Sus scrofa: one gene and its partner. Each later gene encodes a partner of the first gene's protein in a complex. Links are inferred from orthologs where the notes say so. Each region holds a gene or a part of one and is shown on either strand. Other genes may lie near its edges.

Region 1 (4,474 bases):
GTAGAGGTCTAACTGGACCCCTCATCGGTTCCCAGACCGCAGCCTACACCAGAGCCACAGCAACACCAGATCTGAGCCTCGTCTGCGACCTACACAACAGCCCACTGCAATGCCAGATCCTTAACCCACAGAGCAAAGCCAGAGATCAAATTCAAAACCTCATGGTTCCTAGTCGGATTCGTTAACCACTGAGCCACGACGGGAACTCGTTTTTTGTTTTGTTTTGATCTGGCCTTAGTCCAACTCCCGAACTGTGAAACTGGGTTATTACCTATTTCAAGGGTGGTTGTGAGGCTAAAGGGCAACAGCTGACACTCAGTTTTTCCCAGTCTATGATTGCAGAACAAAGGTGAATGGGGTGAGGGCAAGTGGGGAAAAGCATTCTAAGAAGGAGAAAAGCACATTCCACAACTACAGATCCAGACTTCCCATTTGCTCAGGGTGTTAAGCATCCAGCACTGTCACTGCAATGGCTGGGGTTGCTGCTCCGGCAAAGGTTCAATCCCTGGCCCAGGAACTTCCACATGTCCCAGGCACAGCCAAAGAGAAACCACCCAAAAAACAAAACAAAAACCCCACAACTACGGACCCAAAAAGAGCTTGAAGAATGCAAGGGGGGCGGGGGCGCTGGGTGGGGTAGCTGATGGTCTTGAGGGCCAAGTTAAGAAACTTGGACTATTTTATAAGAAAAATAAAGTGAAAGACTCTCTGTCTGTTGAGAGAGAGACAACAGCCAGGTTGTTATTTCCATCAAAACTACTCCAGCCAGGTAAATTATTTAATAAATCTAATTGTACACAAAAGGGAACCGCCAGGAGCAGAGAAGGGGTATAAACTGGAATGTGACTTACCAGTTGCGCATTTTAGACGCAAAGATCCCTAGCACTCAAGCTGGACTAACAGAAGATTCCCTAGGGACTTGCCTTGAATTTCGTATATTTAAAAAAGTGTAACAACGTTTGTCATTTTTTTCTTTCATTCCACAATTTATATTCACTGTAGAAAATATGAAAATACAAGAAAGTTTAAAAAAGTGTAAACAATTGTTAATTATACCTTTCAGAGATATCCCAGTTGATACTTTTCTTCCAGCGGTTCCCCCCACCCCCCGCCCCCATGCAAAAAACCCCGCATTCTTTAGAGTGGCTGATGGGCGGAGTATGCGGAGGGATCACCGTTAAAGCGTTCTCGATAATACCCTCGGCTCTCGCTCTCGCTCTCGCTCTCTCTCTCTCTCTCTCTCTCTCTTAACTAGATCCACACCAACAGGCCGACTGAGTGCGCGCCCACGTGTCAGGGAAAGTCCCCACCACTGCGCCGCCGCCCTCGCTCGCCGCAGGCCGGTCTTTAGGGGGCGCTGCCCCAAGGCCCGGCCGGGAAGGAAGGGAGGCCGGGAGAAAACGCGTTGGAACTTGGGCCCCGCGGCTGTCCGTAGTCAGCATTCCCCAACATGGCGGCTCCCCAGGATGTCCACGTACGGATCTGTAACCAAGAGATTGTTAAATTCGACCTGGAAGTGAAGGCGCTTATTCAGGTACTAATTCCCAGGACCCCCAATGGGGACCAGCGGCCCGAAACCCAAGTGGTTTTGGTTTTCTTTCAGCTCGGCGGTCTCACTGCTGAGCTTTCCCCATCTGGTCAAGTCTCCGAGGTCGCTGGCCCCGCCCCCTTTTCCTAGCTGCTCCCCTTTTGGTCCCGTTCCCTTCATCCCCTGGACTCTTCTCCTTGATCCTTCTTCCGGCTCCCGTTGGCTCGCCCTCTCCAAGGCCTCTCCTCTCCCTCTCCCTTCCCCAGCCTCCGCCTCAGGCCTGGCTACCTTTTTGTGGCCCCTGCCCCACTCCGGCCGTTTCCTCGCCCTGCCCCAGTCTCCAATTTACCTGTCATCCTGCTTGGCCCTGCCTTCTGACACCGCCCTTTCCATCCTTTGGTAGAGTCCTGGGGGCCGTTAACCCCGGCCCCTGTGGCCAGTTCCGTGGGTCTGATGTCCCGGGTCACCAAAGGCCCCTTGGCGCGGGAGGCACTGGATGAAGTGAACGTAACCTGGACGTTGTGATTTGTAAATTAGGAAATCGAGTCAAGGGCCAAGGCCTGGGTCAGAGGGCAGATAATGGCAAAACTGGGGTCGGACAGGGAAAGTCAGTATAGAAAAAAGACTTGAGTCTACTTCGTTTAACAGATGGGGTAATTGAGGTCCTTTGTTTTAGGCCGTTTGAGGGTAGAAGATAACAATAAACCCCTTGGCATAGGCAAGAGTTAGGAATGTAGAAATGGTTACTTGAGTTTAGCAAAAGGAAACCAAGAGTTTAAAATCTTCATTTGAGGCAGATCGTTTCCATTTACAACAAACGTTACTAAACGTTGGATGTAGACTGAGAATTTGCAGCCAACTGTGGTAAAAGGTGGAGGAAAATAAGGCTCCCCACAGAAGCCAAATGCAAAATAAACCAAATTAATAGTTTATTATATGGAGCAAAGAAGTGTGATTTAATGCATAATCCATAGAACAAGTGAGGCAACTTGATGCAAACAGTTAAACTCTTGAACTTCATGTTTCCGATGTATAAACTACAAACCTCTGGGCCAATTTTAGAAAAATAAGTTGAGGAGTCATAAAACAAACGAAACTGTCTTTTCACATAATCTATATTGCTTAAGCCCTTTTGGGCACTCTCTAGCTCTCTTTGTTCTTGTGATGAGAACAGTTGATCATAGCTAGAGTTAGCGCATTCTTACTGTGTTCCAACTCCTCTGCTAAACCCTTTACTACATACCTGATCTATGAAGTAGGTAATGTTGGGATGAGGAAACTAAGGCACATAGGACTCAGTAACTTTTTCAAGGTAAAATAAAACAGCTTATAATTGCTACAACCAGAATTTGAATGTACATAATATATCCTAGGGCCTGCTTTAAAACCTGGCCCTGGAAATTCTGAATGTCCAGAAGCAAATTCTAAATCTATCTTTGAGCATGTTTATAAACAGTGACTTACAATAGAGGGTTTATAAAATTAGATCAAGAAGTTAATCTTGTCATATAATGCCAAATATTAGCATCCTGACTTTTTTTTTGGTCTTTTTGCTATTTCTTTGGGCCGCTCCCGCGGCATATGGAGGTTCCCAGGCTAGAGGTCCAATCGGAGCTGTAGCCACCGGCCTATGCCAGAGCCACAGCAACATGGGATCCGAGCCGCGTCTGCATCCTACACCACAGCTCACGGCAACGCCGGATCGTTAACTCACTGAGCAAGGGCAGGGACCAAACCCGTAACCTCATGGTTCCTAGTCGGATTCGTTAACCACTGCGCCACGACGGGAACTCCGCATCCTGACTTTTAAGTTGGAACCATGTAACATTACAGTCTAATGTTATAATACGTCAGAGTTCCCATTGTAGCGCAGTGGAAATGAATCCGACTAGGAACCATGAGGTTGTGAGTTCAATCCCTGGCCTCACTCAGTGGGTTAAGGATCTGGCGTTGCTGTGAGCTGTGCTGTAGGTCACAGACGCTGCTCAGATCCTCTGTTGCTGTGACTGTGGGCGTAGGCTGGCAGCTGTAGCTCCCATTGGACCCCTAGCCTGGGAACCTCCATATGCCATAGGAGTGCCCCCCACCATTAAAGTAAAGCTACAGTCTGTCTTTTAGATGTCCATTCCTGTCACAAGTTGCTTTAAGTCTTTCATAATGGCTGAATGGAGTTTTGGTAAACTTCAGGAACTAATAGGTCAAGATAGAGTTGTGTTTCTATCTGTGCTTTTATGTTACTTGCTGAGAAGTTATCTAAAGCGGGATGAGAAAAATGTAAATTACATTGTTTTTGCTTGTGTTGTAGAGGTAAACATCAAAGATCAGGATGAATTTCAGTTAGTAGGCCAAACTTAGTTGTGACCTAAGCCAACTCTCTCACGGTACAGCTGGTGTCGTTTCATTTCATTGCCTTGAGAAAGGCTCCCTCATCTCTTCACTTTTTCCTAGGATATTCGAGATTGTTCAGGACCCTTAAGTGCACTTACGGAACTGAATACTAAAGTGAAAGAAAAATTTCAACAGTTGCGGCACAGAATACAGGTAAGTGTCCGCAGAGCAGGGATGCTGAGACTGGGCAGCATTCATTGTCCTTGGAATTTTTCAACTTGAAGACTCAGAGATCACTTGAATTAACTTTCTTTTCTCTACCCCTCTCTCTAACCCATCCACCTCAATTCATTACAATTATCTGGTAATGGTTTTTTTTTTCATACTGTCACTTTGGCCTCTTCCTCTCTGTTTCTGTGTCTCTAGTCGCATCATATGCTTATGTAACAGTCTTGAATTCAACTAGGGTATATGTGCTGTTTCCAAAATCATTAGAGCAAGGAAAGTAGGTGTTTCTGTGCTGTGCCCTGAGTGAGGGTAAGCTGGTAGCATGGGTCTGTCCATCCCTGGGCGGGTCTTGGGGCACCTGGTCTCCATCCATGTGATGCTGGATTTAGA
Region 2 (4,544 bases), on another chromosome or scaffold:
CTGGAAGCCTCCAGGCTGTACCCACAGAGGCCCCTGCTCACACCCTGCCTGACTCTGACATGCCAGATGAGCCTCTTTCTAGAGATCTGGGCTCCTGGAAACGTGTCTCGGTGCTGGACAGACCCTGAATCCTGAGAAAAGGTCAGTTTCTGCTCCTGGACACAGGGAGACCAGGAGGACCTGGGCCCGCGTCTTCAGCCAATGCTGCAGTTCACTTCTCCACGCATGGCCACTGCCCTTCCCTGAGGGTCGGGCTCCAGCCATGGGGTTGGACGGCAGGCAGACACCTCTCGGCAGGACCCTTGACTCTTGCTGGTCCACCAGTGCCCGGCAGCCCTGGCCAGGAGCAACGGCCATCTCTGGTTTGAGGACCCTTGGCTGAAAGTGACAGCAATGATTCGAGGTTCACAGTCGCACCCCTTCCTGTGTCGGCTCTGGGCACCTCGAATACCAGACGTGGCCTTATCCAGACCAAGACCAAGCAGAGAAGCCTCAATACATCAGAACCCTGAGGGCTGGGGGAAGGGCTGCTGGTCACAGGTGGTCACGTCCAGGATTCCCAGCTGCTCTGCTCCAACCTGGCTCTGCTAGGGCTTCTAGCACCCAAGATGGCAGAGGAAGCTGGGCCTTGGTTACCCAATGGGGATGGGCCCCTTGCACACATGGGACCAGCTAACATGAGCTTACTGGGTCAGAGGCTCCCAGCCACACAGGAAAAAGATTCCTAAGCCATGCTCATCACTTCGAAGGGGTATTTTGTAGGTAGATCTTCTGGAGCCCAGGACACAAGGCAGAGGAAGACCCTGGTTGTCCCAGGTACCTACAGAAACCAGTTCCCACTGGCTCACGTCCTTGCCCTTGACAGGAGGTAGGAGAGGATGAAGAAGACCACGATCAGGCCCATGGCCACACCACAGAGAAGCTTCCGGTTGTCTCGCCCAGATCTCGCCATTGTGGAAAAGCGCTTCACACTCCCCGTGAGGAGGCCCGTCACACTCGTGAAATCCGAGTCCTAAGGGAGGAATCCTAGCATTGTCACACGGGGCAGCAACTCCACAGCACACACACGCGGGGGGGGGGGGGGGGGTGCCTGCAGGGCAGGTAACGTGGGGCCGAGAACACCGCAGACCCTTACCATGCCGTCCAGGTACCGGTTCTGGTCCTCCACATCCCTATCAATGTCCAAGGCCAGCTGCTCAGGACACAGAGGGGACAGGGTCAGGCCAGGACAAAAATAACGGACTGTTCCTAACCCCCCACGGCATCAGCAGAGGTCAGGAGATCCAAATGTCACCTGGGCCAGCACAGGTGAGTGCTGCCATGTACGGGACAAAGAGAGAACTATCTGGACCCCTTCCAGGCCTCCACCCTCCCTCTGACGCCCTCCTCCAGAAGGCCAGATGGAGGTGAAAGGAGAGGACCACCACTGACCGACTTGAGCCTGGTGACCTTGGAGGCCAAGGTGTCCGCCATCCGCTTGTTCTCCCGGTCTAGAATCTCCTCCACAGCGCCGGGGCTCTGAGCTGTGAGAAGAGACAGAGAGGGGGTGAGAGTGTGCACCCACCCACGCGCACCCTCTTGACCTCTGCCCTCAGGGCTCTCACTCCAATTCCATCTAGTCCAGGGGGACTGGGCTTTCCTGTGTCTGCTGAACAGGTCCTGCCCTAACCCAGGGTCCAAAGCGTGAACTTCACACACGAGACAGCCGCGTGAAGGACAGCGTGCGAGAGCACTTGTTCTGTGTAGGCATCCAAGCCCGGATGGGTGGGCAGCACCTTCTGATACTCTGTGACAAAACCTGTACCATCCCCTCTGGATGGACTGGTATGTCAGCCCAGATGTCACCAGCGACGTAGAGGGGACCTGTTCTCAGAGAAAACCAGTAAACTCTGGCAAGGACTTAGGAAAAAGTCATGAACAGAAGGGGAGGTCGATCTCACGAGCAGGGCATAGATCTGCTCAGCTCTGCATCCTACACAGAGCCTTACACAACACCCAGAGCAGTGGTTGCTGAGACCTGGCCCAGGACAGGGGCTGGGACTTATGACTTGACTTGGTATAACCATCCTATCAAGTAGATGAGAACTGCCTCCCCAAGTTCACAGGCCAGATTTGCCGTGGGCCAGATGTCTCAGGGAGGCTCATCTAATAGGATCACAACCCTAGAAATCATGGATGTGTAAAGATGCCACGAGATGTTAGCATCCTACCAACCGCTTTCATCCATTAAATCTGTAAATGCCGCAAGCCCAGCGGAAACAAGCATCAGCATCCCACTTCGCAGATAAGAACAGGGGTTCCCAGAGGGCAAGTGGGCCACTCCCAGCCCCAGTCGGTACGAGGCCTTCTTGGGCCATCACGCGCAGCCCTCACTCCTTGGGGCTGGCCTCCGGAACAGTCGACCAGCCCGTCTGGCTGAGGTCCCGTGCAGAACAGTCTCACGAGGGCGGAAGGGGTGGGGACAGCGGACATCCGGACCCCGCAGCTTCACCGAGAAGCCGGGCAAGACCGCCCGAGGGCCCCACCCACGCCGCCCTGGCTCCGCCTGTTCTCAGTGTCTGCCGGCCAAAGCCACCCAGAGAGGCGGGGGCGGGCGAAAGCGACTCCTGCAGGCAGCGGCATCGGTTCCAGCACCGCCGCCACCTGCCTCCGCTCCCCAATGCTCACCCCGAGCCCAGTCCGCCATCGCGCCCAGCACGGACCCGCAGAGCTACAGCCTCCCGGGATGTGGCGCAGCCGTCGGGGAGGGACTTCCCGTCCCGCCCCTTCCGCCCGGGGCCCTCCAACTTCCGGCCGAGCGGGCGAGCGGGCTGGACGGAGAAGAACTGACGTTTCCTCCACCGCCTGCCTTGTGAACAGGGCCGCTGGTTCGCTCCTGGGACTGCTGGAAGGTTATCGTTTTTAATAGCATCATGGTGCCGACAGACAATTCCGCGGCCATTCCTGCCGAAGGCGGTGTCAAATCCTAACTGGAAAGAGCTCACGGCCCTTTCTCAGGCGAGAGAGGCTCCTCGCGGCGACACGGCCCGGGGTCCGAGGCCCGCCCGGCTGCGGTGCGGTTAAGGCGAGGACTCGGTGTGAAGCACGCTCCAGATGCTGCCGGCGGGATAAAGAGGGGATCAGTGCCTGGAACAAGCGAGCGCTGCAAAAATCTCAGGGATGAAGCACTTGAAGGAAAACGGGAAATCAGGAAGAAGAGTGGGAGCGTGAGGGGAGTTAGGGGCAGGAGGAGCCGGTGCTGCGACCTTGCACCCGGGCACTGACAAGGGGTCTGGCACAAAATAGATGCTCAACAAAGGCTTGTTGCGCAGTGGGTGGAGTATATGTTATTCACCCACTGTAATGGAGCATTCACTCTGTGTCGTTTAGTGCTGACAACCCACCGAAATGGGACCTTTTATCATCTCTGCTTTTCAAAAGAGGGAACTGGGTCCAGGCCAGAAGATGTGTCTGCTTACACAGCCAGGAAGTCCCTGCACATGATCAGGCTTTGCCTTCATCCTGACCTGGACCTTCCCTCCCCACTCTCCCCTGTCTCTCAGCCCCAACAATGATCTCTTTCTCCTACAACGGCCATTCCCACCTTTACTCTGCCGGCTCCTTCGGCCTTGAATGAACTTCCCCCACATCCCTTCCTGGCTCACTTCTTCCTCTGGTCTCAGCAAAAGCGACACTTATTCAAATCCCCTTGGAGCCCATCAGGCCCCTTTTTCAATCACAGCACTATGACTGCTTAAAGTCTTCCCGTTTTCCCGTTTTTGTTTTCACCTCTGCAATATAAGCTCCACGAAGGCAAGGACCTGTGGGTTCTGTTCACCCACATCCTGGTTCCTTGCATGCTGTAGGCCCTCAAACGCCTGCTTAATAAACAAAGTGGTCCCGGGGCTGCAAAGTCCTTTCCACTTCGTCTTTCCTCGGAACATCTCATTCGTTCTGTACATCAAGAGGGGTGTAGTGTGCGTGTAATAGCGGGGTGAGAAGCTAAGGCCCTCTCCCGTAGGGAATTCACTGCTCGGAGCCGGAGCGATTCAGGCCCGTGGTCGGATAACCACTGAGTCGGACACTGAAAGGCAACGTGACTAGACATCAAAGCCTTTAAATTCCCGAGGGCTCTTCTAGGCCTCTCCACTTTAAGGCGCGCGCAGCCCGGGCCCCCGCCCCGCGCGGCGCCGCGCGCAGCCCGGGCCCCCGCCCCGCGCGGCGCCGCGCGCAGCCCGGGCCCCCGCCCCGCGCGGCGCCGCGCGCAGCCCGGGCCCCCGCCCCGCGCGGCGCCGCGCGCAGCCCGGGCCCCCGCCCCGCGCGGCGCCGCGCGCAGCCCGGGCCCCCGCCCGCGCGGCGCCGCGCACGCCCCTTCCCGGCCTCCCCCGCGCGCCGAGCTAGGGCCGGGCGGGCCGTCTGGGGCCCAGAGCCTTGGAGCGAGGTACCTTCCGCTTCCTCGGGCCGGGGTCCCGGGAGCGCCATGGAGCCTCGGGCGGTAGTGGATGCTATAGAGACGGGGGAGGAGGACGTGGTTATGGAGGCTCTGCGCGCCTACAACCGGGAGG

The links. Proteins that work in one complex are often made in the same cells at the same time.
Region 2: BNIP1 (region 1) and BET1L share a complex: the UniProt entries of both Homo sapiens proteins name them as parts of the SNARE complex. The link is inferred for Sus scrofa from reciprocal best matches to the Homo sapiens genes BNIP1 and BET1L.

The regions. Positions count from the first base shown.
Region 1 is NC_010458.4:51,137,091-51,141,564, reverse strand, and holds the start of BNIP1 (vesicle transport protein SEC20), read left to right. Parts: upstream 1-1,175; 5' UTR 1,176-1,450; coding exon 1,451-1,534; intron 1,535-1,877; exon of another isoform or gene 1,878-3,119; intron 3,120-3,976; coding exon 3,977-4,069; intron 4,070-4,474. UniProt on the Homo sapiens protein: As part of a SNARE complex may be involved in endoplasmic reticulum membranes fusion and be required for the maintenance of endoplasmic reticulum organization. Also plays a role in apoptosis.
Region 2 is NC_010444.4:27,835-32,378, forward strand, and holds the start of BET1L (BET1-like protein), read right to left. Parts: upstream 2,628-4,544; 5' UTR 2,273-2,627; coding exon 2,215-2,272; intron 1,524-2,214; coding exon 1,432-1,523; intron 1,193-1,431; coding exon 1,136-1,192; intron 1,013-1,135; coding exon 845-1,012; 3' UTR 825-844; exon of another isoform or gene 1-824. Other genes in the region: RIC8A (synembryn-A), read left to right, coding at 4,460-4,543. UniProt on the Homo sapiens protein: Vesicle SNARE required for targeting and fusion of retrograde transport vesicles with the Golgi complex. Required for the integrity of the Golgi complex.